Drosophila melanogaster: one gene and its partner. The protein of the gene in region 1 interacts with the protein of each later gene in a pairwise test. Each region holds a gene or a part of one and is shown on either strand. Other genes may lie near its edges.

The links.
Region 2: the proteins of CG7011 (region 1) and Bap170 interact in a two-hybrid assay, tested with the Drosophila melanogaster proteins (one large-scale study listed by BioGRID).

The regions. Positions count from the first base shown.
Region 1 is NT_037436.4:15,158,699-15,165,907, reverse strand, and holds CG7011 (uncharacterized protein), read left to right. Parts: upstream 1-2,279; 5' UTR 2,280-2,412; coding exon 2,413-2,500; intron 2,501-2,569; coding exon 2,570-2,921; intron 2,922-3,070; coding exon 3,071-3,408; intron 3,409-3,437; exon of another isoform or gene 3,438-3,542; coding exon of another isoform or gene 3,543-3,651; intron 3,652-3,774; coding exon of another isoform or gene 3,775-3,905; exon of another isoform or gene 3,906-4,091; intron 4,092-4,535; coding exon 4,536-4,743; intron 4,744-4,769; exon of another isoform or gene 4,770-4,808; coding exon 4,809-4,944; 3' UTR 4,945-5,032; downstream 5,033-7,209. Other genes in the region: CG6878 (uncharacterized protein), read right to left, coding at 3,543-3,651, 3,775-3,905; Prp31 (Pre-mRNA processing factor 31), read right to left, coding at 5,056-5,391, 5,451-6,069, 6,132-6,583, 6,640-6,738.
Region 2 is NT_033778.4:6,633,382-6,643,282, reverse strand, and holds Bap170 (brahma associated protein 170kD), read right to left. Parts: upstream 6,772-9,901; 5' UTR 6,595-6,771; coding exon 6,353-6,594; intron 6,289-6,352; coding exon 5,273-6,288; intron 5,103-5,272; coding exon 2,296-5,102; intron 1,999-2,295; coding exon 997-1,998; 3' UTR 925-996; downstream 1-924. Other genes in the region: Fmo-2 (Flavin-containing monooxygenase 2), read left to right, coding at 1-280, 400-579; Trap1, read left to right, coding at 7,296-7,428, 7,505-9,272, 9,335-9,509.

The DNA of each region.
Region 1 (7,209 bases):
TTAATATGTACCTAATTGTGTATCTATGTGCCTTGCATTTAAATTTAAATAATGAAGATGGTTTTTTCGCAGTGCGTATTCGAAATCGGAATCAGAGCCTGGGTTGGTGGCCAGGGCATTAAAGTGTCAATATCCATTAGGCAGTCCTGATTGTTTAAGCTGCTTTACGCCAACTTCTCTTCTGGCTTTCTTTACCCATTCTCCGGCTCCGGGTTCCAAGTTTCTTGACACGCTCTCTTCTCGCTCTTTTTTTTTAGCCCGGTTCTTTTGTCTCCGGAGTCTTTTATTGCCGGCAAAGCCGTAGCACAATGACTCCTTCTCCGCTATTTGTTCTGGCTGATGTTGGGCTCATTGTTTCAAATAAGAAATGACGCGAATTGGCTAGAGCGAAATGGTTAGAAATGCAAATTAGCGGGAGATAAGAGTGGGCGTGGTCGAGGGAAATGGCCATGGCAGAAAACCCGAATGCCCTGTGGCCATAAGTTGCGCAAATATAAGAGGATATACTAGGAAAAAGGGCTATGAACTTGTCAGTCGGCGAAGCCAAGGGATAAATATTTTTGAGACATTTTCAAATCCAATTTAAAAGTGACCCATAAAAGGACTAAGAACTTTGTGGCAATTTTTTAGAAAGGATAGATTCAAAAATTGAGTTTATATCTCGAAGTATATGTCACTTTTAAATTTTGCTTAAGGCCTAAATAAAAAAAACTTTATTTGAAAATGTGTAAGGTCAAAGTCAAGCTGTTATATATTAAAAATCCATGGTATCATTGTTTATTATTTATACATACATATTACATATTACATATTCACATATTTACATATTTACATATTTATACATACAGTTACACATTGTTAAAACTGACACTTCCACTTTTTTATGAACTTTCCCAGATCCAAAGCGTGATGCTCTATTCCATACCCTTTCCAATCCATTTACTTTAATTTAGAAAGTAAAAAAAGTGTAAAATTACCGCTGGCTAATCTTTGTCATCTGCTGCCTTGCCTGATTTTACAGATTTCTTGTCCAGGTAATTGCAAAAAAAAAGTGAAGTCGGCGAAAGAAATGACAAAGGAAACTGTAGAGTGGCCAGGAAAATGAGAAAGCATCGGGAACTTGAGCTTAATTGGTAATTACACAAAGTCGCGGTATGTTCTACACCTACATACAATTATTTGTGACCCTACATGGATGCTGGGTTCATGGACCTTCAATCAGTCGGGCGAAAAGCCATTTGGTGATTTATATTTAGGCGAAAACTTTTAACTTTAACCAAAATCCCCGGGGATAAACCACGGTCTTCTATTAGTCCGCTTCTTTGAAAGGGGTTTGTGGGGTGTGGGGGTTGCAACCCCTAAAAGCTAAGCATTAGCTGCGCGGGCTGTCGAAACTTGTGGTTCCTTTCAATTAACCTTTCATCTGTTTAACATGTATTATAAAATTAGACGCGGTCTCCTGGACCACAGCAGCAGCAGTGGGTTAAGGCGTCTGAGTGGGGGGGTGGTGTTATTGCCGATGGTGGGCAATGGCGGCCTAATGTATGCACAACCACAACCCCAAGACATGACAACACTATTAAACATTATTCGTGGCCATGGGAAAGGACGGCCAAGCGGAGGTCCTAATTGTCGCCGGGCCAACGCGGCGTATGCGCAATCAATGGGGTAAAGCTCCGGCTAATGAAGGATGAAATCAAAAAATCGCCTAAGTAAAAGTTAAAGCTTATATAAATGTAAGGCTTGACATTGGATTTTTTTAAATCATTGCTTATAGTCAGTGAGGGTATTTTGTATTCGTTAATAAACAGTAAATGTAAAGTGTGTATCAAAATCAATACCACCAGACGAATCAAATTTTGGGAACTATAAGAGCTAAATTTTAACATTAAATAATCATGCAGTTTCAGCAAAACTTTGCTTAAAATAAAAACATTTTTATAACCTTTATAATTTTAAATTGTATTTTTTTGAAATGTAATAATTGGCATGCATGTTGCTATTGTAATGCAATGTAAGATCTAATCATAAGTTTCTATGTTAATAAGATAAGCACTTAAATAAGCGTTTTATATTGTGTCAATGGCATTTACCTCTTATAAACGGATAAAATAGTTTTAAGATTTCTTGATGTGGCCCATTTATTTTTAAAACTGCATACTTATCTACAATTACTGCATCTCGCCCGATTTTTAACATGTAAAATGCGACATGTAAAGTAAGAGCTGGCATGTAGATACGGATACGATAACAGTCAATCGAACCGAACCACAGCGAACATCTGTTTGGCCGTACCATTGCGGCGTACTGGCAACGCCAATTTCAACACGTCACCTGTCTTGTGCAAAAACGATGTAATATTTATTGTTTACGTCTGCATTTCGTCTGTTTTGTTCCTTTTACGTGTTCACGATGAAGTTCGCCGACGTGCTGCGTCGCCTGGACGCCTATCCCCGCACACTGGATGACTTCAGCGTTCGCACAGTGGGCGGCGCCGCAGGTGGGTGCAGGTGTACAATTGATTGTGGCGTTAAGGAACCCAAACAACCGGCTTTTCTCTGATTTTCAGTTACAATTATCAGTACCAGCATCATAAGCCTACTGATCTTCCTCGAGGTCCTCAACTACATGCAGCCAACCCTAAATGAAGAGCTCTTCGTGGACACCACTCGTGATCACAAGTTGAGAATAAATCTGGACGTGACACTGCATAATCTGGCGTGCAACTACATCTCATTGGACGCAATGGATTCATCTGGCGACACACACTTGAGGGTGGACCACGACGTCTTTAAGCACCGGCTGGATCTCAATGGCGAGCCCCTCAAGGAGACGCCCATCAAGGAAATCGTTGCAGTTTCGCCGCCCAATAAGAATGTCACTTGCGGCAGTTGTTACGGAGCGGAGCACAATGCTACTCAGTAAGATAGTGAACAGCTTCTAAGTTCAACCATTAGTTCCACCTATTTTCGCTGACAAGATTTATCTAAGGAGATATCTGTATCTAGAGCTAATTATAGCAATGGCTTTCTAATCTCCCCCTTTTAATACCAACTACCATCCTATCTAGCTGCTGCAACACGTGCGAGGATGTTCTCGACGCCTACCGGCTGCGCAAATGGACCGTGGCCGTGGACAAGATCGAGCAATGTAAGGGCAAGTACAAACGCAGCGACGAGGACGCCTTCAAGGAGGGCTGTCGCATCCAGGGTCACCTGGAAGTGAATCGAATGGCCGGCAGCTTTCACTTTGCGCCCGGCAAGAGCTTCTCCATCCGCCAGTTCCACATCCATGACTTTCAGTTCAGCAATGTGAAGCTATCGCACACAATCAATCACCTATCGTTCGGCGAGAAGATAGAGTTCGCCAAGACGCATCCCTTGGATGGACTACGAGTCGACGTGGCTGGTGAGTAGTGAACACAAACACGGACTCGTAATTCTGTAACATCTCTATTGCAATAACTTAGCGTAATTTAAACAAGATTGGAGTAGGGCTTAAGGTTGTGGTTGTTTAGTAACTCTAGTCAAATGCCAGCAGGATCAGCAGCGAATCCCCGTGCCGATGGCCATAAAGGTGCCAAAGGTTCCGCCGCCCTGGACCATGGTCTTGCCCACGTTGTTGATCAGCTCCCGCCCGCGTAGTCCGTATCTAAAGTGTATTTCAATGTGGTTCGTTAGTTAGCCGGAGTAATTACATAATTGCCGGCCTCCACTTGCGTCACTTCTTTGGAGGAGCGCTAAGTGGAGCATCCGAGTGCAAAGTCCAACTAACCTGAGCGCCGAGAACCCGCCAAAGACCGCACCGCTGGCCATGCCCACGCAGAATCCGATGATGAAGCCCGTCTTCATCTTATCGAAGCACGTTGGTCCCTGCTGGGAAAATGAGCTCGTAGGCAGAGGCATGCCGCTAAGTCCGTGGTTTTCCTGGTTCACCGGCTCTATATGAGTTGATACCGCTGAGTAGCAAGCTCCGCTGCTCCGACGCACTTATGAATCTCGCAGAAGGTTCGTTTATTTTAGGAATATTCAAAATATTTCTATTTATTTCGGCACCGACTAGTCGAATAATTCGTAAACGTGTGAGTGTGAGCAGCTGAGTGATGGTGTGCGTGAGCTGTCAAATTATAGAAGGGTTGCCACTTTGTTTTTCGCTCGGCTTGCCTCGTTCTAGAGAAAGCCGATAGGGGGCGGTAGCTAAAAAGCGGGTGCTTTAAAATCAATTTATATTCTTTATTTATTAATATTATTAAAAAGCATACTTAAGACTGAAATAAAAAAAAACTAAGTTATTTAAGCACAGGCATCCATTTTAATTTATATTTTACTCCTCGAAGAATTTCTGGGAAACTTCGGAGGTCTGTTGTGTGGGGCATTTTCATTTTTTAAATTGGAAAAAATATACTCATTTGTTCGAATTGTGAAATACCTGTTTTTAGAAGCATGAAGTTTAATTCGTAATTACCTTACCAAATTAAATACATTTATCAACGACAAATGAAGTAAACTAGAAAATCTGCTCTCCTCTTTTTGCAGAAACCAAAAGTGAAATGTTCAATTACTATTTAAAAATTGTTCCCACATTATATATGCGAGGAAACAGCGACGGCGAGCCCATATACACGAATCAATTCTCCGTCACGCGATACCGAAAAGATCTTTCAGATCGCGAGCGCGGAATGCCGGGGATATTCTTCAGCTACGAGCTCTCGCCACTGATGGTGAAATATGCGGAGAGACACAGGTCAGTAAGCCACAAAGCTAATGGTTAATTTTACAAGTTTTATTGGTTGTGTTGTGTATTCCCAGCTCATTTGGCCACTTCGCCACGAATTGCTGTTCCATCATCGGAGGCGTGTTCACGGTGGCCGGCATTCTCGCCGTGCTGCTGAACAACTCGTGGGAGGCCATTCAACGGAAACTGGAAGTCGGCAAGCTCAGCTAACAACAATTCGAATCTCTTATGCAGCTTTACTACGCCTAACTCAATATACATTCGACAAATCTCCAAATAAAAGTGCTTAATTTTATAGAAAATAAGGATAGAGCTGTTCTCTTAAGTGGTCCGCTGTCCCACTGACATGAATCCGGATGTGTTTGAAAAGTATTTGGCATTGGCCTCCGTCTGCGAACGCTCCGCCGCCTGCGGATTCACAATCTCTAGACCTTGCAGTGGCGTAAAGGCCACACTGGATGCCGTTCCGGAGATTTGGCGTTTGACCGTGGTGTTGCCGCCGTACACCTGCTGTTTCTGCAGATTCTTGTGCAACGTTTTGCTAATGCGCACCTTGGTCTTCTCATCCACCTGGGGCAATCGGATGCGGCCGGTGCCAGTTTTGCCGATGGTGCCGCGTGAATAGCCCAGATCTCCTTGGTAGGCATCCTCTTCGATCTGAAAGAAAAGTTCAAAGATTAATACATAACCATTATATTTTTAAGCCAGAAACTTACGTCTCCGAAATTCATGCGGTTCGCTTGCTTGCGGAACTCTGTCAGCGCATATCGTTCCTTCATCTTGCGCACGCGTTTGCCTCCTCGCTTCTTCTTGCTTCCCTCGATGGGTTTGGGCAGCGGCTTTATGAACTTCACCGGCGGCGGCTCCTGCAGCTTGTCCAGCTTCTTTTCCACATCCTCCTTGAAGCGCAGTCCAATCTCCCCGTGGACACTCTCATGACAGGCATCAACACGAGCAGCCAGCACGGACTTGGCGGCCACCAAGCGAGCTGCCTTGCGTCGCAGATCTGGCGCAGTATCCTGCACAATCTGTGAGTAGTACACATAGCCAGTGTGCGGCAACATCTGCGTTTGTGAGAAGCCCGAGAGGGTTTTCTTTTGTGCACCCAACACCTGAACATTGCAGGCCGGCATTTTGGATAATTTGGAAAGGCCACCAGCAATGCCCAAGAGTTTAGCCGCCGTCGATGCTCCAACAATCATGGAAAGATTTGGGGCTATGAAGGTCATGCGACTTTCCACATACTCGTAGATCTTGGACTTGAAGTTATTCAGTTCGATGGCCATTTCGCAGGCCTCGTCGATCTTTGCCTTCTCCGCCGGTGTCAGCATGGTTCTGCGAAAGGGAATGGGATTCAGTGACATGTTATTTTGGGTTACACCGTTCAAATAACTTACCCCTGTGTGGTGGACGCCGTGACTGACACAATCATAATGGTGGCCTGCGTGAGAATAGCCTGCAGCTTCTCGTTATTTTTGACCTGGTCCAGGTCGTTGCCCAGCTCCTTGACCGCCAGCAAGTACTCGATTTCACCCACGATCAGGGAGTCCAATTCGGGGAATCGCTTCTGATACTTCTCCTTGGTGAACTTGTGCACAATGGAGATCTCGTTGTCAATGTCCACAGCTATGGCATTAGCGTCCACGATGAGGCAGTACTCTGGATCGGATTCTACGGATCCCAGCATTTCGGCTGCAGTTCTCTGGCGACTGGCATAGTGCTCGATCTGCTGCAGCGTGTTCTTCAGGCGCTCAGAGTCGCGCAGCTTGCACAGTTCCCGCACCGACTGCACGGTTACATCCACGTCCATCAGATTGGGAGCCGGCTTAGCCAGCTTCTCCGCCAGCAACTGTTTTGTGGGAGGGGAATCATTAGGTCTGATCAACATTTGCTTTGGTTCCTTACGCTCTCGTCCTCTGCACTGGCCATCTCCGAATCCTCCTCCTCCAGCTCATTGTCATTGTCTTCCTCGAGATCGGCTAAAAGCTCATCGGCTAGCGACATTTTGGCTTATTTCAAAAGTTTATTTTGCGATCTCGTGAAATTAAGTTTGTTTTGGAATTGAAGTGACCGTTGCTCAGCCGCCTTAGAATACCATGCGGTTCATTGAAAAAATACTAAGTATTAGCATGAAATATATAGGGTATTCATTTAAAGAATACCATAAGGCTATTCCACTGGATTTTAATTGATCAATTTGACCAAATTCAATAAACATTTCATGAACAGAACGATCCAATATCATAACTCTTGTTATTATTCTGGAAAGTTTCGATTTTCCTGCTTAATTAGAATTCTGTATCTAAAAGTAAAGGAATTGAAAATATGGTTGAAAATATAAGGTTGATGAAAATATAGGTATGGCTATCAATTGTTTTGCTTAATTCTTAACTATCACTCTTTATTTATTTTGGGACAACAAAGCCTAGATAAACACAGATCAAAAATGAAAAAAAATGACTTATTATATAAGAA
Region 2 (9,901 bases), on another chromosome or scaffold:
CGATGTGGGTGTCCAGGTGATAGACAACTTCGTGCAGCCACTGTGGAAGCACTGCATCAACATCAACCACCCGACCATGGCCTTTGTGGGCCTGCCCTTCAACGTGATTCCCACCCACATCTTCGACATGCAGGTGCGCTTCACGCTGAAGTTCTTCACAGGTCAGCGGAAGTTTCCCTCCCGGGAGCAGATGATTGCCGATCTGGAGCAGGAGATCGGAGAGCGGTGGGGCTGCGGCGTGCGCAACCAGAAGAAAGCACATCAGATGGGCGAGCGACAGGTGAGTGTTCACAATACCCTGTATAAGAAATTAAAAATATTAGCTTATGTAGACTTATTTGTTAAAGACTTTTACAAGCAGAGAACATATATAAAACAATCTTTTATCTGTAATTTCAGTTTGTCTACTACAATGAACTGGCCAGTATCGCGGGCATCGAGAACATCAAGCCAGTTATCCACAAGCTAATGAAGGACTGCGGCAAGAAGTACATTTTTGAATTGGACACGTACAGGAGCAACAAGTATACGATTTTGGACGATGAAAACTTTTTGAAGAACGGAGAAGCTATTGTATGATGAACCTGATTTCATCCCATTCTAATATCTTACGTTAGGCGATAAAAAGTGTTTCACTGTAGTACACGAAGATTTAGCGGACTCTTCGGTTCGGATTCTTTTAACGGATTATAACTCAGATGTGTTAATTAATATTTTATAAGAACAATGTAAATCAAAGTATGTTTTGAACGATTAATTCAAAACGTTTATTTGCTAACCAGGAGTATATCTGATAATGTCCACCATAGCTCTTTAATTCTAAGCCTCGTAGAATTGTAGAAGTCAAATTAAAATCTTACTCCCGAATCTCCCATATTTTGGTGCTATATGGTATGAATCATTTAGACAAACAAGGTATGGTTTGCTTTTCACATTTTTTTAGTGTCGTTCTTACAAGTCAGTTAAATAATCATATTGATGGTAAGCTATATCGGCTTACTGGCTCAATTCGTACATGATGTGGGAGAGCACTCCGCTAGCCTCCACATTGCTAAAGGCGACATTGGCCAAGCGTGACTCATAGCGTTTCAGGCTTCTCTTGGCCGTAGCCGAGTAGGTGACCAGGTTGCGTATAATGAGCGCCGCTGTCAGACGGATGCTCTTGGTGACTGGACCCTCATTTTCGTCCATCAGCTCTTTAGCGTTCGTGTAATCAGTCGTGTGTCGGTTCATAGCTTGCATTGCGGCGCTGCCAACGACTGGAACCGCTGAAGCAGGACCCGAAGGTGAACCAGTAGCGCCTCCCGCCAATCGTTGGGCATGACCCTCGTTGCGCACTATGGTCACGGGAGCCTGGGTGGGCGCCACATTGTGAATCCCAGTTGCCAGGCGACGTTGCACACTGGCGCGCAAGTTCTCCGTTGTCAGGTGCCGGTCAATCAGATGCGTCATCAATGAGTACCGTTTGCGCGCTCTGTTGTCGCAGAAGTTGGGTCCGCTGCCCCACTGACAATAAATGTCGGCATCAGAATCAAGGTGATCTGGACAGTGGACACTGCACACGTGGTACTGCAGCTCGTTAAGAGACTTGAATTTCTTGCGGGGACAGTTCCGCCAGTCGCAGATGTACAACCAATTTGCATCCACGGGCATGGGAGAGGGCGTGGGGTTGGCATTCGGGCCAGAAGCAGCGTAGACGCTCTGACTGACAACCAAAGAACTGCTGCTGGGACCTGTAGTTACGACAGCAGGTGGGACAACCGTCTGTGCTACTACCTCTGATTCCGCTGGCTTGGCCTCGCTGGTTGCTAAGACAACTGTTTTGCCGCCTTCCGTTGAATCACTAGTTCCTGACGTCGTTACCACAACAGCCTGGGTGACTGATGGCTTGGGGCTAGATACTTGAGCAGGTTGTGGCGGCGCCGGCTTTTTTGCTAGGAGAGTTACAGTTGGTGAAACTGGAACGGGTGCTATTTTCGGTTTGGTCGCTTCGGAAATCTAAAATAATATATTAAAATATTTGTTTTAGTCATCTTAGCACAATTCTTATTACCATACACCTGTTGGCTATTTAGAAAAGAGATCCTGTAAAACCCGCCACTCAAGTAGTGAAAACGCGATGGAAACATTTAAAAATGGGGAATGTGAATGTGATGCGATTTATGGGATTTAGAACGGGCATGGGCATATTATGAAATCAAATTTTAAGCTGTTTACATACTTTTCAATGACCCTTGTATATATACTTAAAAAAAAATAATAATTCTTTAATTTCGGCCCCAGTTCCCAACTTACTGCCGGCATGGTTATCTTCTGTTGGATGATGGATGGATGATGCTGCTGCTGCTGGTCCAACACAGATCGAATGTGATGTTGCTGCTGAAGAGCCACGCCTCCTACGATAGCCGTGCTGGTAGGTGACTGAGTGATGATCGTCTGCGAGTTAAGCTGGCTTTGCTGCAGGGGAGCCGGTGTGGCCGACGTCTGGGTAATTAGCGTGGTCTCCTTGATTCCGCCCAGAATTACCTGCCTCTTTTCCCCACCAACCGTACCGCCAACTGTGGAAGTAGGAGTGGAGGGGCCCGAGATTATGTGTTGCTGGATGATAGACTGATGTTGCTGGAGCTGAGGAATGGGCAATGAAGCGCCCGGCTTTGCGGCAACTAATCGCTGCTGGGGTGCTAATTGCGGCGAAACGAGCTGCGGCTGTGGTTGGGGCTGATGAAGCTTTATAGTAGCCGGGATCTGGTTCAACTGCGACAGCAGTGAAGGCGACATTTGGCCAGCACCCAACGCCGGAACTGGTCGCTGGGGTGCGATAAAGATTTGCTGCTGGGGGGTAGAAGTACGCGGTTGGGCCAGTTGTGGAGCTGTGGTGGTGGTAACCAGGACCTGCTGGCCCTGCGCCGTTGTCATTATCATTTTCTGAGTGCCAGCCACGTTCGCCGCAGAGACTCCTCCTGGCTGCTGCAGGATTATTATGGTCTTCGTTTGTTGTTGTGGTGTTTGCGTCACCAGCAGAGTGGGTGGTGCCGACTGCGTGGATGTCGGAATAGTCGGCTGCTGGGCCACAAGATACGTCTGGCCTTGCTGGTTGGTGGCCAGAACATATTGCGTCTGCGGAGCTGGCGTGGAATCCATTGCAGTCTTGGGCTGCAGGATCACTGGCACAGTTTGCAAGCCCTGATCCGTCTTTATGGTGGCCGTGGTGGCAAGTTTTAGTTGGGAATGCGGAGCTGGAGAAACCACATTGCTACCGGGGAAAACAAGTTGACGTTGGGTTGGTTGCACTTTAGCCGGAATGAGTTGAAGCTGCTGTGCCTGTTGCGGGTGCTGCTGGCTTTGCTCCTGGCTTGGTTTGGCCAGCGGTGGAACGTCATCCATATCCTCATCCTCCAAAATAGATGCCGCCAGATCCGCATAGAGATTGGCTGCATTCTTCGAGGGAGTCACCTGCGCTTCTTCCTTGCCGCCAGAAGATGAGCTGCTGGAACTGCTGGCAGCGGCATCTAAAGCCAGACGCTTATTCTGCTCCTCGTCAATGGTTAATTTTCGTTTGGCAGCTGCTGATGCAATGATGAGAGTGCGCCCGCTGGCGTCTTTCGTCACTACGTTTGCACCACTCAATGGAGCGAGAGGTGGCGGGGCCGAATCAGTGATTGGCTTCTTTTCGATGGCCATCTGGGGGTGCAACGGCTTAATGGTAGTCTGACCCACCTTCACCGGTGTGTGCTGCATTAGCGGGTTGTTCACGAAGGCGCTTATAGCTGTTGAGGTTACCTTGATGGGCTGGGTAGCATTTGTGCCCGATGCCGTGGTAGCCACAAGGGCTGGCGGCTGCGGCGTCTGAGCTTGGGCCTTCTGCTTCTGTTGGCGTTCAGTTACCTTGTTGGCCAACAAGCTTTTGATGAGCGAGGAGCTTGGGGGTGGCGTGACTGCAGAAGAAACGCTTTCCTCAGACGCCACTTCCGTTTGAACAGGATCACTAAATGGTTGCTTGGGCAATATTGGCGTGTCCTTTTTAACAGGAACAATGCTGGGGGTGGGTCTCTGTTGCATGGCTAGCGGCTGAGCTCGCATCCTAATGCCTACGTAGTACGTCCCAGGTAGCTCTATTCCGTCCAGGTGCCGTACAATTACTGGTCCCACCGATTGATTAAATATAAGCCGCACTAGACGAGGAAACTGCATGTGATTAACCACTGAAAGCTTACCCGCCTTCTGGCAATGCGATAAATATATTCTGTATAGTTCCGCTTGTTCCACACGGAGATCGTTACCGTTCCCAGCCCGTTCATACGTGGCTCCCAGCCAAGCCAGCGCATACTGTTCGTCCTCGTGTGTAAAACTCTGGGAGGCGGAGGGCAGACTGGGAAGGGTCACGGTGGCAGCGATTGGTGGCAATTGTACCTGCGGCAGACTGGGTACAGGCAATTGAACCTGTGGCAGACTGGGCATTGGCAGACCGGGGAGAGCTGTAACCAAGGGTGTTTGCTCTCCGTGAGGCAGCACTTGCGTCTGGGCGGGTGTAGGCGTGGGTAAAACTGCTGGCGGTTTAACAGCTACTTGCAGCGATGTTGGAAGTGTAGTCAGGGAAGTGGGACCTGGAGCAAGAATGGCGGGCATGTTCTGAGCCAGCGAGGCAGCCATGTTTCCGGGGAAAACCTCTACGACACGCATTAATATGCAACCGCCTGTGCCATATGACTGAGCCTCCACTGTGATAAGGGTCACCAGCTGGTCTATTAGGCCACGTACTTGCATCAGCATCGAACATGGCCGAGCGCCAAGAGCACTTAGTGCGTAAACTGCCTCCAGCGTAAAGATAATCATCATGACGTCGGTAAGCGAGAGGAGCAACATGGCTCGCTGGTAAAAGTCCAGGCCAAGGCAACGATTGATGTGCTGCGAATTGCCTTCTCGTCCGCACAACTTATAGAGTATCTCCAGACAGCTCATGATCACCGCGCGGTCGTTAGAGTCAATACCCTCGCAGAGAGTAGCTAAAAGATTCCGCGATAGCTCGTCAGTGGTGGGGTCTAGCAGCTCAAATTGTTGAGCCAGGTTGCCAGCGGTCTCGAGGGCCTGGATGTGAATGTTGCCTAGAACGAGCGAAACGTGTTTCAGTTATTTTATTTTAAATTGATTCTTTCGGGATTGCTATGCTACGCAATAGTCAATTTCCTTGCAGTGTATTTATGATAGCACCTTGATACTTCGTACATTCAAAGCGCCAAAAAATATAATTTCTAAGCAGATAAAAAAAACTTACTCCATCGTACGTTTGCTCCCATGACCAAATATCGCCACAACGTGCGGTTGGAGGCCAAGAGTGCATGATTCTCCTGATGAAAGCTGAGTGTACGGACTAGCTGGACAATCTGAAGCACTCGCTGGCCCATGCGCTCATCAGTCCCGTTGCTCCGGCGCAGATTAAGGAAGTGCAACTCGTCGCAGGCCGCCAGCAGTTCACTTCGAGCGGCAGAGTTCTCACCGTCCTCCTTACTTATCAGACCGTTGTCCAGCCAGGCCTGCTCATCCGTGTAGAGCTCTAGGACCTGTGGCTTGTCGTGTAGCAGGTCGCGCCAGAAACTGAGCTGCGAATGGTGTCGAACCTCGGTGTAACTGTGCTGGAACAGCTGGCGCATGGTGAAGTCAGCGTAGACTCCCAGGTGAGCAAGCAGCACATCAAGCAGTTTGGGGCACTCGGACAGCTGTAGGGTGTGGCGCGCCTCGTTGGCCATAAGTGTGCACACGTTTATGGCGAAGTCCTGCTCATTGGGCAGCGGAGAAAGCAGAGACAACAGCAGCTTCTCGTAGCTGCTGTGTCGGTGCAACTGCGTGGACATCTTGTACTGTCGGCGTCGTTCCACATTAACAGAGTGCTGGCGCTGGTTGTAGGCCATTGGCACCGCCGGCAACGTAGAGTGTGCTGATCCAAAAATGCTTCCTAGGCCACCACCGGCGCCAGCCAAAAAACGAGATCGCGAGCGTCCACCGCCCATTTCTACAATCTCAATAGCCGCCTCCAGAGCCTCCATCTTGTCTGGATCCTCGCCAAAGAAGTTCAACCGTTCGTACTTGTCCAGGTAGCGTCTGTAGATGTGCTTGATACTAGCCGTTCCGTTAACGCAGCGCTCCCGCAATGTCTCCATGGCGCTGTACACCTCGTCCCACTCGTCCCGCATGGTCACCTTATTAAAGCCGCCTCGTTCGGTTACCTCGTTGTACAGCTTGTACAGGTCGACATGCTTACCGCTGATCCTGGCGGGCTGTGTCAATGGAGTGCTGTTTGGGCAGAGGGAAAGTGGGTTAGGTCGTCTCCAAATACAGGAGAGCCGCGGCAACTCACCCGCGTCGTTCGTGAAACTGCTGCAGGTCCCTCCAGAACTCCTCCGGAGGTGACGGCGGCATCTCCTCGACCTTCTCCGGCATGATCTGTAATTGGGCGGGATTCTTGGCGCGAAGGGGAGTCGCTGGGGCCGCAATCTTGCCCGGCGTCTGTAGATCGCCCGGCTGAGTGGCGCTGTTTACGGCGGCAGCAGGCAGCGACTGAAGCAGCACCCGTACGTTGTCGATGGTGGTGGCGCTCATGATTGGATCTTTTTGTGTGGTGGCGTGAATGGGAAACACTTAACACATGATATTCTAATAGTAAGACACGCAGATGCTAATTAAAATTATTTAAAAAACTCAACAAAAATTACAACGCGACGCTGACGCGCTACAGCAGAGTTGCATTCACGAGCAGGGCTGTCAGCAATTGGACCGTATATCGATATGAGGTATCGATGTCTTTCAATATTGGATTTGATTTAACTTTCTTTTATTTACTGTCTTCTTTGAAGACATTTGTTATTTCATAACTCAAAAATCAGCATCCAATCTACATTGGCTAAACAATGAAACGTAATCTGTTCTTAATTCCTTCAGAATTTACGGTTTGTTGTTCACAGTTGAAACATCTCTATCTCTCTCTCTCTCTCTTGCTGATCGAAATCTTTAGAGAACTAGTCAGCTGGCAGTTTGCTTCAGTTTTGAGCTGAATAATGTGATGAAACTGAACTCTCCATTACATGTAGTAACTCTTATTCAAACCAACTAAGCATTTGAGTCCAAAATTCATTACAGCCCAGAAATTTGGAAGAAAACACCGTTATGAGTAGGGTTTTACCAGTTTACTATTATCGAATACTTACAATCGATTGATTTGGCTACACTGTGCACACATGTGCGCTGGAACAAACTTCGTAGTTGGGTAACATTAAAGTTGGGCAAAACATTAAAACAACAAGATGTCTGTACGAGCGATGGGAGTGCTGGGCCAGGCGTGCCGCCTCGGTCGCTGTGCCCAAGTGTTGAGGCAGAGTCACCGATCCGCCCCAGCAGCGTTCAATATCACCATTGGATCGCAGCATTCGCCGGGTGGTAAGCACTGAATATAAGCAACCGGCTCCCCGGAGGGATTCTTATGTTTACATAACACTCATCTTTTCACTTGCAGCTCTCTCGCTCCGTCGCTACTCCACGGAGACCAAGCAGGCATCAGGATCAGTGGTGGACAAGCATGAGTTCCAGGCAGAGACGCGCCAGCTACTTGACATTGTGGCTCGTTCCTTATACTCCGACCACGAGGTCTTTGTGCGCGAGCTTATTTCGAATGCAAGCGATGCGCTGGAGAAATTTCGGTACACCTCGTTGAGCGCTGGAGGCGAGAATCTGGCTGGAAAGGACCGGCCTCTGGAGATTCGTATCACCACCGACAAGCCACTGATGCAGCTAATCATCCAGGACACGGGCATCGGCATGACCAAGGAGGAGCTGGTCAGCAACCTGGGCACCATTGCACGCAGCGGCTCGAAGAAGTTCCTGGAGCAGATGAAGGGGACCCAGCAGGGAGCCAGCTCGGAGGCATCCTCGAACATTATTGGTCAGTTCGGCGTGGGCTTTTACTCTTCCTTCATTGTCGCCAATAAGGTGGAGGTGTTCACGAGGGCGGCTGTGCCTAATGCACCCGGACTGCGTTGGTCCACGGATGGCAGTGGAACCTACGAGATCGAAGAGGTGCCTGACGTTGAGTTGGGAACGCGAATCGTGCTTCATTTAAAGACCGATTGCCGTGAATATGCGGACGAGGAGAGGATCAAGGCGGTAATCAAGAAATACAGCAACTTTGTGGGCTCACCCATCTTGCTTAACGGAAAGCAGGCCAATGAGATCAAGCCTCTGTGGCTTCTTGAGCCACAAAGCATCAGCAAGGAGCAGCACCATGACTTCTATCGGTTCATTAGCAATAGCTTCGATGTCCCGCGCTTCACCTTACACTATAATGCTGACGTACCCTTGAGCATCCATGCACTGCTCTACTTCCCCGAAGGAAAGCCTGGTTTATTCGAGATGTCTCGGGACGGAAACACCGGTGTGGCTCTTTACACCCGCAAGGTGCTTATTCAGTCCAAGACTGAGCATCTGCTGCCCAAGTGGCTGCGTTTTGTAAAGGGTGTTGTCGACTCTGAGGACATTCCACTCAACCTGAGTCGCGAGCTGCTCCAGAACAGCAGCCTGATTCGCAAACTGTCCAGTGTGATTTCCACCCGCGTTATCCGTTTCCTGCAAGAGCGGTCCAAGAAGCAGCCAGAAGAGTACGAGGCCTTCTACCGGGACTATGGGCTTTTCCTGAAGGAAGGAATTGTAACCTCCAGCGACGCCTCCGAGAAAGAAGAAATAGCTAAACTTCTGCGTTTTGAATCCTCCAAGTCGGAGACCGCCAGTGGGCGCATGTCGCTGGAGGAGTACTACAACGCCGTTCCCGCAGAACAGCAGAATATTTACTACTTGGCAGCACCCAACCGCGTTCTTGCCGAGTCCTCGCCCTACTACGAGAGTCTGAAGAAGCGCAACGAGCTGGTGCTCTTCTGCTACGAACCCTATGATGAGCTGGTGCTCATGCAGCTGGGCAAGTTCAAAAGCAAAAAACTCGTTTCCGTGGAGAAGGAGATGCGCGAAGAGTCCAAGGAGACAACAGCGACCACCGACTTTGGCGAGGGCAGTCTGCTGCGCTCAGAGCTCGACACTTTGATTCCCTGGCTGGAGGAGGAGCTCAGGGGGCAGGTTATTAAAGTAAAAGCCACCACTCGTCTAGACACCCATCCCTGTGTAATCACCGTAGAGGAAATGGCTGCCGCTCGCCACTTCATTCGCACCCAGAGTCACCAGGTGCCAGAACAGAATCGATTTGCCCTGCTTCAACCAGAACTGGAGATCAACCCAAAGTGAGTCCTGCTCCTCACGTTTCTTTCGTTGCTTTCTTATTTTGCATTTTTCCTTACCTTAGGCACCCCATCATCAAGAAGCTTAACAAGCTCCGTGAGAGCGACAAGGATCTGGCCCAACTTATCGCCAAGCAGCTCTTTGCAAACGCAATGGTGGGCGCCGGTTTGGCTGAGGATCCCCGCATGCTGCTAACCAACATGAACACTCTGCTATCGCGGGCCCTGGAGAAATACTAGAGTGCGCCGTAGAAGGAACAGTGTAGATATACCGACTATGTAATATTAATTTCTATAATTAATTTCATAAAACGTGTTGAAATAGTTTTAAATATGTATAATTAAACGTTTTAAATATTTTAATTCCAAAAATGAAGGGGAATATAATTTTTTCGGGCTTAATTTTAACTTTGTGTGCCTAGTGTGTGCACAATAATGGGGCTTACACTAGGCATTTTATACAAAGAGTTTTTGCATAAACGTATTCTTTGTTCAAAAGCTCCATAGAAACCAATATTTCTAAAAAAAAGTGTAAATAAAATATGAATTTGTTACATTATACGTACTATAAAAAACGTTTTGTAAGCTATTTTATAATAGCTAATACCGTTCTTGGGACCCATTTAGTTCGA